Linked DNA regions of Caenorhabditis elegans. The protein of the gene in region 1 interacts with the protein of each later gene in a pairwise test. Each region holds a gene or a part of one and is shown in the gene's direction. Other genes may lie near its edges.

The links. The genes of interacting proteins can lie anywhere in the genome.
Region 2: the proteins of ciao-1 (region 1) and ciao-2B interact in a two-hybrid assay, tested with the Caenorhabditis elegans proteins (one large-scale study listed by BioGRID).

What each region holds. Positions count from the first base shown.
Region 1 is NC_003279.8:12,852,546-12,860,123, reverse strand, and holds ciao-1 (putative cytosolic iron-sulfur protein assembly protein CIAO1 homolog), read left to right. Parts: upstream 1-1,842; 5' UTR 1,843-1,861; coding exon 1,862-2,012; intron 2,013-2,150; coding exon 2,151-2,292; intron 2,293-2,496; coding exon 2,497-2,621; intron 2,622-2,682; coding exon 2,683-2,771; intron 2,772-4,148; coding exon 4,149-4,319; intron 4,320-5,802; coding exon 5,803-5,963; intron 5,964-6,755; coding exon 6,756-6,930; 3' UTR 6,931-7,048; downstream 7,049-7,578. Other genes in the region: clec-104 (C-type lectin domain-containing protein), read right to left, coding at 200-305, 353-625; mxt-1 (Eukaryotic translation initiation factor 4E-binding protein Mextli homolog), read right to left, coding at 7,192-7,311.
Region 2 is NC_003281.10:13,436,521-13,441,524, reverse strand, and holds ciao-2B (MIP18 family protein F45G2.10), read left to right. Parts: upstream 1-1,980; 5' UTR 1,981-1,999; coding exon 2,000-2,082; intron 2,083-2,853; coding exon 2,854-3,010; intron 3,011-3,446; coding exon 3,447-3,614; intron 3,615-4,313; coding exon 4,314-4,388; 3' UTR 4,389-4,471; downstream 4,472-5,004. Other genes in the region: cua-1 (P-type Cu(+) transporter), read left to right, coding at 154-618, 1,231-1,604; F45G2.9 (rRNA methyltransferase 2, mitochondrial), read left to right, coding at 4,613-4,650, 4,705-4,921.

The sequences.
Region 1 (7,578 bases):
TACGTAGATCTACAAAAAATGCGGGAGAATAGACGCAGAGTTTTTAACTGATTTTGCATGGTTAAGAACGTGCTGACGTCACATATTTTTGCTGGGCACAAAATTCCCGCATTTTTTGTAGATCAATCCGTAATTGGACAGCCTGGCACCTCGTGATAATGGTTGATAGGTCCCAGCCTACAACAACTACAAATCTCACATGAAACTTGCATTCGCTCATTGGCATTCTGGTATCCGGACAATGTGGCCCCTTGTGCCTGGCACCTACTCTCGGCGATGGGCTGAGTGAGTGATTCATAGAAGACCTGTAAGACTACAAACTATAAAGAGCTAGCACTTGTAGCTCGCTCACCTTGACACACCAGACTCCCTGAGGTCTGTCAAACGACAACCAATCACTTGGACATTCGGGTTCTCTTGATACTGGCGGACGTGGTGGACGTGGCCGTGGGGGTCTTCCATGATGGTGGCCGTGGCCGTGACCGTGATGTCCTCGTCCCTCTTCTGATGATGATGATGATGATCGTGACCCAAAACCTCCACCTCCAAAACCTCCGCTGGCTCCAGGAGCAAAGATAGCTGAAGCTATGGATGCCGCCAGTAGGAGTAGCAGGATGGATCTCATTCCTAAAGGCATATTAAACCACGCCCATTTTGTAAGCTGCGCACGGTTTCGGGAACTGTGCGCAGATTGCTAATGGGATTGTAAAAGTTTTGATAATTTAAGAAAACAAAGTGATGTTTAAACAATCGACAAACCAAAAAAAAAATCTATGAAATTTCTTTAAAAAAATCGCTGTTTTATATTGATCAACCCCTCCGTTCGGAGGGGTCTCATTTCATTGCAAATGCTTGCAAAATTACAACAACTTCCCGCATCAAACATTAATTTTTGCAATTTTCAAAGATTTTGCGCGATGTTTGAACTTTTTGAACGAACCTGGCCGCGAAATAAGAAACTCGGCCACTTATTTAATGGTTTTCTTCTTCCTGGTCTCCAACTCAATATTAAACATTAATGCTTGCATTTTCAATCATTTGAGCTTTTTTGGAAACTGTAGCTTTAGAAATGACAAAGATCGTGACGAGACCCGCCCAGAAAAGTTGTGTATGTGCCTTTAAATTGCCGTTGCACACATTTTCACGAATTAATGATAAATTTTATACTTTTTCATTCCAAAGTTTGAAAAATAAAATTCTCCTTTCGATTTCAGAGCGTTTTCCTGATTCAGTTCAAATTTGAATCCAAATAAAAAACTAATTTTCAAGTCTCGAGACCCGAAGAACTCGGGGGATGTCCAATTGGGGGGATTACCAACTCGGGGGATTGGCCCCGCCCACAGAACCGTGGCTTGCAATACGCCCATTTCTGCAACTGCCGCACGGTTTTAAAACTGTATTTTTCTCAATAGAGCGAGAATTAACAAGAAAAAATAATTTTAAAACCGTGCGGCAGTTGCAGAAATGGGCGTATTGCAAGCCACGGTTCTTTGGGCGGGGCCAATCCCCCGAGTTGGTAATCCCCCCAATTGGACATCCCCCGAGTTCTTCGGGTCTCCAAGTCTCGCGCCGTTTTTCGTCTTATCTTCTCTGCGCCCTCTCACTCTCTAACGCGTGACGATGGAGCGCGACTGCACTGGAATTTTTTGGATAATTCTTTATCGCGATTTTTTCAGCAATTTTCTCATTTCTTCTAGTTTTTCTTAAGATTCTTGCTATTTTAAAAATATAAATCAGCTATTTTTAAATTTTCCATCAATTTCACCCGGAATTTCACACAAAACGCTCATTTTATTCGCAATTTTCCTTCAAATATTGTTTCTAAAGTTTTTAAATTTATTTTCAATTTTCAGACCGGAAAATGCTGCGACAAATCGGTGAATTTTATCACCAAGGCGAGAAAGATGACACAAGTCGAGTTTGGATGACGTGTTGGCATCATGGAGGACGAATTTTGGCTTCTTGCGGCGACGATAAGGCTGTCAGGGTTTGGAGCCTCGTTGGAGAGCCTGGTTGGTCAATTTTTATTGAAAATTGTGCAGAAAATCGTGATCAGCGGTGTGGAAAACATAAAAACGAAGGAAATCTATCGAAAAACAGATTTTTTCCTTTAAAAAATTCGAAAATCTCTAAAAATTCCCAAATTTCAGATTCAAAAATGCGTCTGGAGTGTCGTACAACACTGGATGACAGTCATACACGGGCGGTTCGATCAGTCGCATTTTCAAATGACGGAAAATGTCTAGTTTCTGCGAGTTTTGACGCTTCCGTCGTGGTTTATCAGCAGGAAGAGTGAGTTTTTAGCTTAGAAAGTTGTAGTTTGTAGTCTAAACCTCAACTAAAATAGAAATCGAAGAAAATTTTAATTTTTTTGGTTGAAAATGCATAATTTTAGCGTTTCTAGCATAAAAAATCGTGAAAAATCGATAAAATTAGTGGCAATCTAAAAAAAAAATTACAAACTACAAACTACAAACTACAAACTACAATTTTCAGCGGAGAATTCGCCGAAGTCAACAAGCTAGAAGGACACGAAAGTGAAGTAAAATGTGCAGTTTTCTCGAAAAGTGACGAGTTTTTGGCCACATGTAGCAGAGATAAAAGTGTCTGGTTTTGGCAACGTAAGTGTGTAGTTTGTAGTTTGTAGTTTGTAGTTTGTAGTCTCAACCACTTATTTTGCAGAGGACGAGGACGAGGATTTCAGCGTTTCATCGATTCTACAGCCACACACACAGGACGTGAAACAAGTCGCCTGGCATCCAACTGAAGATGTTAGTGGTGCAGAGACTACAAACTACAAACTACAAACTACAAAATGTGTAGTTTGTAGAAGATTGTAGACTAGAAACTACGAAATTTGATTGAATTTAATTGATTGAATTTAAAAAAAATCAATTTTTTTTTTGAAATTTCAATTTTTTGAGAAAATAATTTTTAAAAAACACATTTTTCCAATAACTGTAGAACTTTAAAAAAATTTCCATTTGATTTAAAAAAAACCAAAATGGCTTTTTTTTTTCGGAAAATTACATTTTTTTATAGATTTCTGAATATTTTTCAAGAAATGATTTTTTTTCCGATACTTTTCGGCAATCGCTAGAATTTTTTCAAAAAAATGGACGAAAATTGAACATTTTCTAAAAAATCGAAAAAAAAAAATTTTTGTTCGGTTTTTTTCAGATAAAATTGAATTTTTTTTTTGGAAAAATTATAAAAACCAAATTAAAAAAACAAAAAAAAATCATTTTTCAAAAAAAAAAAATCATATTTTATTTCAAAAAATATGGTAGTTGTGCTGAGAAAAAAGAAATGAAGAAATTTCAGACAATTATCTAAAAAATTATTTTTTTTTCCGAAAATTCCAAAAAAAAGGAAATTTTCCGATTTTTCTATTTTTTTTTAACATGAAACCATAAAAAAAATCAGAAAATCACAAGAAATTGAAAAAAAAAGTTGATTTTAATTTTAAAAAAATTTAAAATGTTTTTTGGAAATTCCACTAAAAATTTGGTAATTGTAATGAGAAAAAATTAGAGAAATTTCAAACAATTATCTAAAAAAATAACGTTTTTTCCCGAAAATTCCAAAAAAAACCTAAAAACTTTCCAATTTTCGGTTTAAAAAATAATAATAAATCAGAGAAGAGGTTTTTTGTAAAAAAACCTTAAATTATCAAAAGATATCAGTTCAAAAAAATTGAAAAAAAAAACGATTTTTTTGGAAATTCCACAAAAAAAAAAATTTAAAAAGCTACTTTCTGTGCTCAACCCTAAAAATTTTGCGATTTTCCGGTTTTTTTTTCTGAGAAAATTGGAAAAATATTTCGAAAAGTTGAAAAAACCTGAAATTATTAAAAAACAATTTTTTAAAAGAAAAAAAATCGTAAAAATTTTCCGATTTTTCGATGTTTTTTTTCGAAAAAATAACAACAAAAATTTATAAAAATATGAAAAATATATACATTTTAATTTTCAAAAAATTACAGAAAATTAAACAAGTTTTTTAAAAGTTTTTTGAAAAAAAAAAATTTCAAAAAAAAAGTCTGCACTTTTTGTGCTCAACCAGAGGCTTTTCTAGATTGTAGTTTGTAGTTTGTCCTACAAACTACACAAAAAGTTGTAGTTTGTAGTCTACGTATCTTTTTCCAGCTTCTCGTCTCATGCAGCTACGACTCATCAATCAGATTCTACCGATTCGACGGCGAAGACTGGGTAACACAACAGAAAATCGACGGATGTCACGTGGGAACTGTATGGAGCATCGCATTTGACACTGAAGGACATCGCCTTGTGACTGTTGGAGAAGATCATTGTATTCAGGTAGAAAACTACAAACTAGAAAACTACAAAAAAGATCATTGTATTCAGGTAGAAAACTACAAACTAGAAAACTACAAAAAAGATCATTGTATTCAGGTAGAAAACTACAAACTTCCCTACAGCCTCAACCCCAAGGGTGTCGGTTTTTTGATTTTTTTTAGAAAAAATCTAAAAACCAAAATTTTTCGATTTTTCGAAAAAAAATTTCGATTTTTCAAAAATTAGCTCAATATTTTGACCGTTATTCTTCTTTTTAGAAGAAATTTTAATTTTTTTTCTCATCATTATAAACAAAATTAAATAAAAAATCATATTTTATGGCTAATTTTCTGAACATTTTTTTTTTTCGATTTTTCGATTTTCACCGAAAAACATCAAAAAATCGAAAAATGGCACCCTTGGCCTCAACAATACACTGCAACTTTTTTCGAACGAGGGACGAGGCAAAAAGGTTTCTAGGCCATGGCCGAGTCCCCGACAAATTTCAGCGGCCATTTATCTTGCTTTGTTTTCTGCGTGTTTTCTTTCATTTTTCACCGATTTTTTCCGTTTTTTCTTATCAAAACAAATAAATAAATATTTTTTGCAGATGCTAAAACAATTTCCAAGTGAAAAAATTGTGAATTCAGTCGGCAAGTAGCAGTGAAAGTGGGCAATGTAATATGATGGATTACGGGAATACAAAACCCAAACTTTTTCTGAAACATGATATATATGCTTTTAAGATGCTGAAAGTACCTGATTTTCATAACGAGACAGCTAAAAAAGTTTTTAGATTTTCAAAATTCAACATTTTGTGCCAAAATCTCGACTTTTTTACCAAAAAAGTTGAATTTTGAAAATCTCAAAACTTTTTCAGCGGTCTCGTTATGAAAATCAGGTACTTTTAGCATCTAAACATCATATGTATCATGTTTGGGAAAAAGTTTGGGTTTTGTATTCCCGTAATCCATCATATTACATTGACCACGTTCACCGCTACTTGCCGGCTGAATTCACAATTTTTTCATCTGGAAATTATTTTAGTATTAACAAAAAATATGTATTTATCAGTTTTAATAAGAAAACACGGGAAAAATCGGTGAAAAACGAAAGAAAACAAAGCAAGTAGAAAATGTCGTAAAATGCGGTGTTTTGTGTGCAAACACCGATTTTTCGCATTTTTTCTCGGCCCTCGTTCGAAAAAAGTTGCAGTTTTCCCTACAGCCTCAACCAAGGGTGTCGGTTTTTTGATTTTTTTAGAAAATCGAAAAACCAAAATTTTTCGATTTTTCAAAAATTAGCTCAATATTTTGACCGTTATTCTTCTTTTTAGAAGAAATTTTAATTTTTTTCTCATCATTATAAACAAAATTAAATAAAAAATCATATTTTATGGCTAATTTTCTGAACATTTTTTTTTTCGATTTTTCGATTTTCACCGAAAAACATCAAAAAATCGAAAAATGACACCCTTGGCCTCAACAATAATGCTCTTTTACAGCTTTTCGTTCGTGAGAACATTGGCTCCAAATCTGCTGATCAAGACACGTGGAAGTCTGTGGCACGTTATGATGTGGAAAATACACGATGGCCGTTGTATTCGGTGGCCTGGAATTCTACGAATGACGTCATTGCCACCGGTGGTGGAGATTGCAAAATTAGGTACGAAAAGTGTTGAAAAATTGGAGAAATTTGTAGTTAGTAGTCCGGCAAATTTTGTAAATTTGCAAATTTTTTGTCGACAAATTCGGCAAATCGGAAATTTGAATTTTGGCTATTTGCCGATTTGCCGGAAATTTTCAATTCCGGCAATTTTACGGAAATTTTCAATTCTGGCAATTTGCCGATTTGCCGGAATATTTTATTTTTAAAAAAATGTGCAAAACCACAATTTGCCGAAAATTTTCGGCAATTGCCGTTTTTTCCGGCAAATCGGCGTTTTGCCGGTATGCCGACTTGCCGGAAACTTTCAATTTTGGCAATTTGCCGGAAATTTTAAATTCGGGCAATTTGCCAGTTTGCCGAGTTTCCGATTTGGCAGAAATTTCAATTCCGGAAATTTGCCAAATTGCCGATTTGCGGGAAATTTTCAATTCTGGCAATTTGCCGATTTGCCGAAAATTTTCAATTCTGGTGATTTGCCGATTTGCCGAAAATTTTCAATTCCGGCAGTTTGCCAATTTGCCGACTTGCCGGAAATGTTGATTTTCGACAATTTGCCGATTTGCCGGAAATTTTCAATTCTGGCGATTTGCCGAAAATTTCAATTTCGGCAATTTGCAAAATTGCCGATTTGCGGGAAATTTTCAATTCTGGCAATTTGCCAATATGCCGATTTGCCGGAAATTTGCAATTCCGGCAATTTGCCGATTTGCCGGAAATGTTCAATTCCGGCAAATCACCCATTTGCCGGAAAAACTCGTTTGCCGCCCACGACTGTAATCATATTTCCAGACTATTCAAAATCTCCTCCACACCCGAATCTCCAGTCATTGAGCACCTCGGAGTTGTCGGCCGCCACGAGCTTGACGTAAACCACGTGGCATGGAACCCGAATCCGAAATTTTCAAATTTGCTCACTTCGGCCTCGGATGACGGAACAATTCGGCTCTGGGAGCTCGAAATTTGATTTTTTTTTGCCTCAATTTTTGTTGATTTTTTCTAATTTTTTTTCGGTAGTTTTCAACTGTGATTGTGTTCATTGTTTGTTTTTTGAATAGAATAAAATTATTTTTAAAAAAATAGCAGCTCATAGTATCAATTTTTGGAATAGTTATCACACACACCCCGGGGGTTAAAATAATGAAAAGATGCTGGAAAATTACAATAAAAAAGTGGCTAAAACTAAGAATTTTCAGGGGAAAAAGCAATAAATACTAGAATTCACACATTAAGCAATCAAAATGTCTGGAGCAACTCGATTGATTTCTTGGAGCATTTCATCCGGAATTGGAGCACGTTTAGTGTCACGGGCGGTCATTAGAGTGTCACGATTGTAGCGGATCGGGTTCTGGAAGGGAAAATCGATATAAGTTGTAGTTTGTAGCCTGGTAGCTTCAACCAAATCGATTTTTATTGCCGACTAGCGGATAAAAACGACGTTGAAAATAGGTTTTTTAAAGATTTCAGACGAAAAATCGATAAAATCATATAGTCTGAAATTCATTTTTTAGTCGATTAATTATTACGGGCGCACTAAGTTCTGAGAATGCGTATTGCACAACATATATGACGCACAAAATATCTCGTAGCGAAAACTACAGTAATTCTTTAAATG
Region 2 (5,004 bases), on another chromosome or scaffold:
AAAACTAGTATATTTTTCTTGGTCTTGGATCTTGCTCTTGGATCTTGCTTTAAAAATTCTTTTACTCCACTGAAAAAATCCTTTTTTTTTAATGAAAAAAGTCAATTTCGTCTGTCAAAACAGCTGTAGTTATTGACAAATTAACTATTTCAGCGGAAGTGGTTGCTGTAATTTCAATTGCTGATCAAGTTAAAAAAGAAGCATCACTTGCAATCTATACTCTACGTGAAATGGGTCTTCGTGTCGTACTTCTCACAGGAGATAACTCGAAAACTGCAGAATCAACTGCGAAACAAGTCGGAATTGATGAAGTATTCGCAGAAGTTCTTCCAAATCAAAAGCAACAAAAGATTAAGCAATTGAAAGGATACAAAAACAAAGTTGCAATGGTTGGAGACGGTGTCAACGACTCGCCGGCTCTCGCAGAAGCCAATGTTGGTATCGCAATTGCTGCAGGAAGTGACGTGGCAATTGAGTCAGCTGGAATCGTACTTGTTAGAAATGATCTTGTGGATGTTGTTGGAGCAATTAAGCTATCGAAAATGACGACGAGAAGGATTCGATTGAACTTTTTGTTTGCAATCATTTATAATGCGATTGGAATTCCGATTGCTGCAGGTGAATTTTAAAAAAGTTATTTCGAACAAAAAAACCGATTTCAAATGGTAGAATAAAAAGTGTTAAAAATGTCGAAAAATTTTCAATTTTCCGAAAAACGAAAAAATTGAAAAAAAATGTCTAGAACATTTTTTTAATTTGAAATTTTAAATATCAATTTTTTTTGAAGAGAAAAACTTTAAAAATTATATTTTCTCTGAAAAAAGAAAATTGGTCAAAATTTGTAGCTATTTTTCGAAAACCCGGGTAATTTTTTTTCGAACAAAAAAAATCAAAATTTTTCGACTTTTCGAATACCCGGAAAACGAAAAATCGTCTAGAAAATTTTTAAACAATTCAAAATTTTATCAAATTCGGTTTATCTTGTTGAGAAGTACTTAAGAAAAAAAATTTCTGAAAAAAAAGAAAAATAGCTTAAGTTTGAAGCTATTTTTCGAGAAAAAAACGGAAATTTTCTACTTTTGTCTGGAAAATTTGAAAAATTCAAAATTTAATGAAATTTTCGTTGATTTTCGTTGAGAAAAAAAAAGAAGAAAATATTGTTTTTCTAGAAAACGCTATTTTTCCAATAACAAAAAACAATCCACTTTTAATAATTTTCCAAATTTCCAGGTGTATTCCGCCCATTTGGCTTCATGCTTCAACCATGGATGGCTGCAGCTGCAATGGCTCTTTCCAGTGTCTCCGTGGTTTCTTCTTCACTTTTACTCAAAAACTTCCGAAAACCAACGATTGCAAATCTCTATACGACGAGCTTCAAACGACATCAGAAGTTCCTCGAATCGGGCTCTTTCCAAGTTCAAGTGCATCGAGGCCTAGACGATTCGGCTGTTTTTCGAGGTGCTGCTTCTTCAAAATTATCAATATTAAGCTCAAAAGTTGGCTCACTGCTCGGCTCAACAACAAGTATCGTGAGCTCTGGGAGCTCGAAAAAGCAACGACTTTTGGATAATGTTGGATCAGATTTAGAGGATCTCATTGTGTAGTTTTTTTGATTTTTTATCCAATTTTTTGTACATTTTGCGTGCTTCGTTTCGTCATCTCACTCTCATCACACACATACCGACCAAATTCCATTTTTTACGCGGTTTTATTGTTTTAATTTGTGATTTTTTGCCTTATTTTCTTGTATTTTCCAAATTTTGAATCGAATTTAATAAACATTTTTTAAAAATTTAACTATAAATTTTTGATTTTAAATCTCAAAGTATTTTTCAAATTTTTATATCTCTGGAAATTATTGCAACAAAAAATTATTCAAATTTAAATTTTCGCCAAAAACTACATATGTATTGTTTTTTCTTCCACGGCCACTAGGCCACCGATATTTTTTCGTCATTTTCCATTTCCAGCTTAATTTCCAGGCTTATATCACATAAAAATGGGCCAAGAACGTCTCGACAATGCAAATCCAACACTTTTCGACTCAAAACCACGTCATCGACCTGTTACTGGCACTGAAAGGTTGGTTTTTGGAGGGTTTTAACGCAAAAATCAAGTTTTAATCGTTAAAAGTTTACTTTGAATTCAAAAAGAGCATATTTTCACGGTTAAGTTTTTATATAAATAAAGTACAGAATTTTTAAAAAATTCCGCAAAAAAACAGCGAATTAATAAATTGAAAATTCGAATTTTCAGCCATTTTTCGTATTTTTTCAAATGAAAATTTATAGTTTGAAACGTAATTACTTCGATTATTAAATTGAAAACACAGAAAAATCAAGAAAAACGCTTTTTACCTGTTATTTAAACGAAAAACATAATAAATTTAACAAAAACACGATAAAATACGAAAAATCGCATGAAATCCAAACATTTAAATAAAAAATTCCAGTAAAATGGAAGAGGAGATGAATTTTTGACACTTTGAAGCTCCAGAACATCTGTGTCAAAAGTGTCGGTTTTTAGATTTTCGAAAAAATAAAATCGAAAAACGAAAATTTTCCGTTTTTTGATTTTTAGATTTTTCGATTTTCCAATATTTCGAATTTTTTTTCGATTTTTCTAAAATTAGCTAAAAATTCTGATAATTGTTCTTCTGTTTAGAAGACGTTTTTATTTAAACAAAATTAAATTTAAAAAAAAAAAGAATTTTCTGCTGAGTTTTTTTTAAGTTTTTGATTTTCCTTGAAAAAATAGAAAACATCGAAAAATGAATTTTTTGTGTTGTTTCGCTTGTAAAAATTGGCTCTCAATTCCACTACATTATTTTTAATTCAAAAAATATGATTCCAGAGATGAAAGCGTCGAAGATCCAATCGATTCGTGGGAGATTTTCGATCTGATCAGAGATATCAACGATCCAGAGCATCCATATACTCTCGAGCAGTTAAATGTGGTTCAAGAGGAGCTTATCAAAGTGTTTATCGACGAAGAAGAGACCTTTGTGAAGGTAACTTTAATTTTAAAATAACTTTAAAATTTTTTACAATTTTTTACAAAACATTTCCAAGAAGCTTCCAATCTTTGAACAGAAATTCTACAGCATTGATTGGAAAAAAGTGAAAAAAATGCGCTTGAAAAAATATTAAAAATTGGTCTCAGCAATGCAGGGCTCTCCTGATATATTTAATCAAAATATACTGATTTAATTGATAAAAAAAGTTGATTTATCTTGCTTTTATTTAAATTGGAACAATTGATTTTTCCAAATATCAGACAATTCTTGAGCGTTTCCCAATTGTTCCAACTGAAATAAACTTTTTTCAGGTAAAACAAATATTTTTTTTCTACCTTCTATCACTAAATTTTAATGAAAAATATTGCGAGAAAATTATTGATTGGTAATTTAAAATTAATTTTTTTTTAAATTTGAAAAAAAATTTCAGGTGAATTTCACACCAACCATTCCACACTGCAGTATGGCAACACTAATCGGTTTGGCGATTCGAGTGAAACTTTTGAGATCTTTGCATCCGAAAGTTAAAGTTAGCGTTTCAATCACTCCAGGATCACATTCTACGGAAGAATCAATTAACAGGCAGTTGGCCGACAAGGTAAGTTTTTAATTTTTGATGAAAATAGTAAAATCTATATAATTTAAAAACCATTTATTTTTGCAAAAAAATCGAAAAAAAACTCTAAAATTGACTTTTCTGCTGAAAAACGCCTGTAAAATTGGCAAAAAACTGTTTCGAACTATAGTAATATGTAAAATGAGGAAAAATCAATAGTAAATAACGACTTTAAAAATTTTTAAAAACTATGTAATTAGCTTTTTTTTTTGCTAGAAAATGTCTAAAAAATTTGAAAAAAAAGTTTAAATCATAATTTGCCAAAAAACGTAATTTCAAAACTCGGGCATTAATTTGCGCAAAAATTTAAAAAAATCACTAAAACTTTAAAATTCGCCAAAATTCGATAATTCAACATTTCTTCTTAATATTTTATGCTGAAAACCGTCTGAAAACATTAATTTGAATTTTTTGATTGCAAAATGGCAAAAAAATCATTTTAAAAATTATTTAATTTTTTTAATGGTTTATTTGGAGATTTCGGTCTATTTTTATACTTTGCATTTTTTATTTTCGAAATTTTTTGAAATTAAATTTTAAAGTATAGAAAATAAGACCGAAGTTTCCGAATAAACCAATAAAAAAATTCAAAAAAAATTTAAAACATTGTATTTTTTAGTTTAGAAGCAAGCCCCTCAAAAAGTTAATTTTTAAAACATAAATTCAAAATGTCTCATTTAGGAACGAGTAGCTGCTGCAATGGAAAATCAAGGACTAATGCACGCTGTTAACGAATGCCTCAGAGTTCCAGAATAACCAAAAAAAGATCCAGATTAAAGTTTTTGTGATATTAAAAGTTGCCTATCTATCAGGTTTCGAATAAAAACGTGTTTAAAATTATTTAGTTTTTTTGTCGAAATTTTCATTTTCATAGGTTAGATTTAAAAATCACCAGAAAAGTATCTAGATTCAGGGAATTTATTTTTTTGTTGAAAAATTAGTGATTAAGAATTCGAAAAAAAATGTTCAAAAGTGTCAGGATGTTCTCAACGAAAAAATCACAAGGAAATTTGCACAAGTGAGTTTTCTTCCCCCATCAAATATAAATTTATTTTTCAAATTTAAATTTCAGATATATTCAACGGCAATCAACAGACGAATTTGCGGTTAAAGCTCGTGAGCACAATTACCGAGCACGGAGCGCCTTCAAATTAATCGAAATTAATGAGAAATTCAAATTTCTGAAACCGGAGAGTACTGTAATCGATATTGGATGTGCACCTGGCTCATGGCTTCAAGTAGTTGTGCAGAAGTGTCCAAATGGATATGCATCGGGTGTAGATTTACAAGTAAGTTATTAAAATTAGTTTTAGAAAAAAAAACGTTGTGCCCCCAAAAGTTGGGTCTCGTTAGGTATTTGACTGCAAAATCG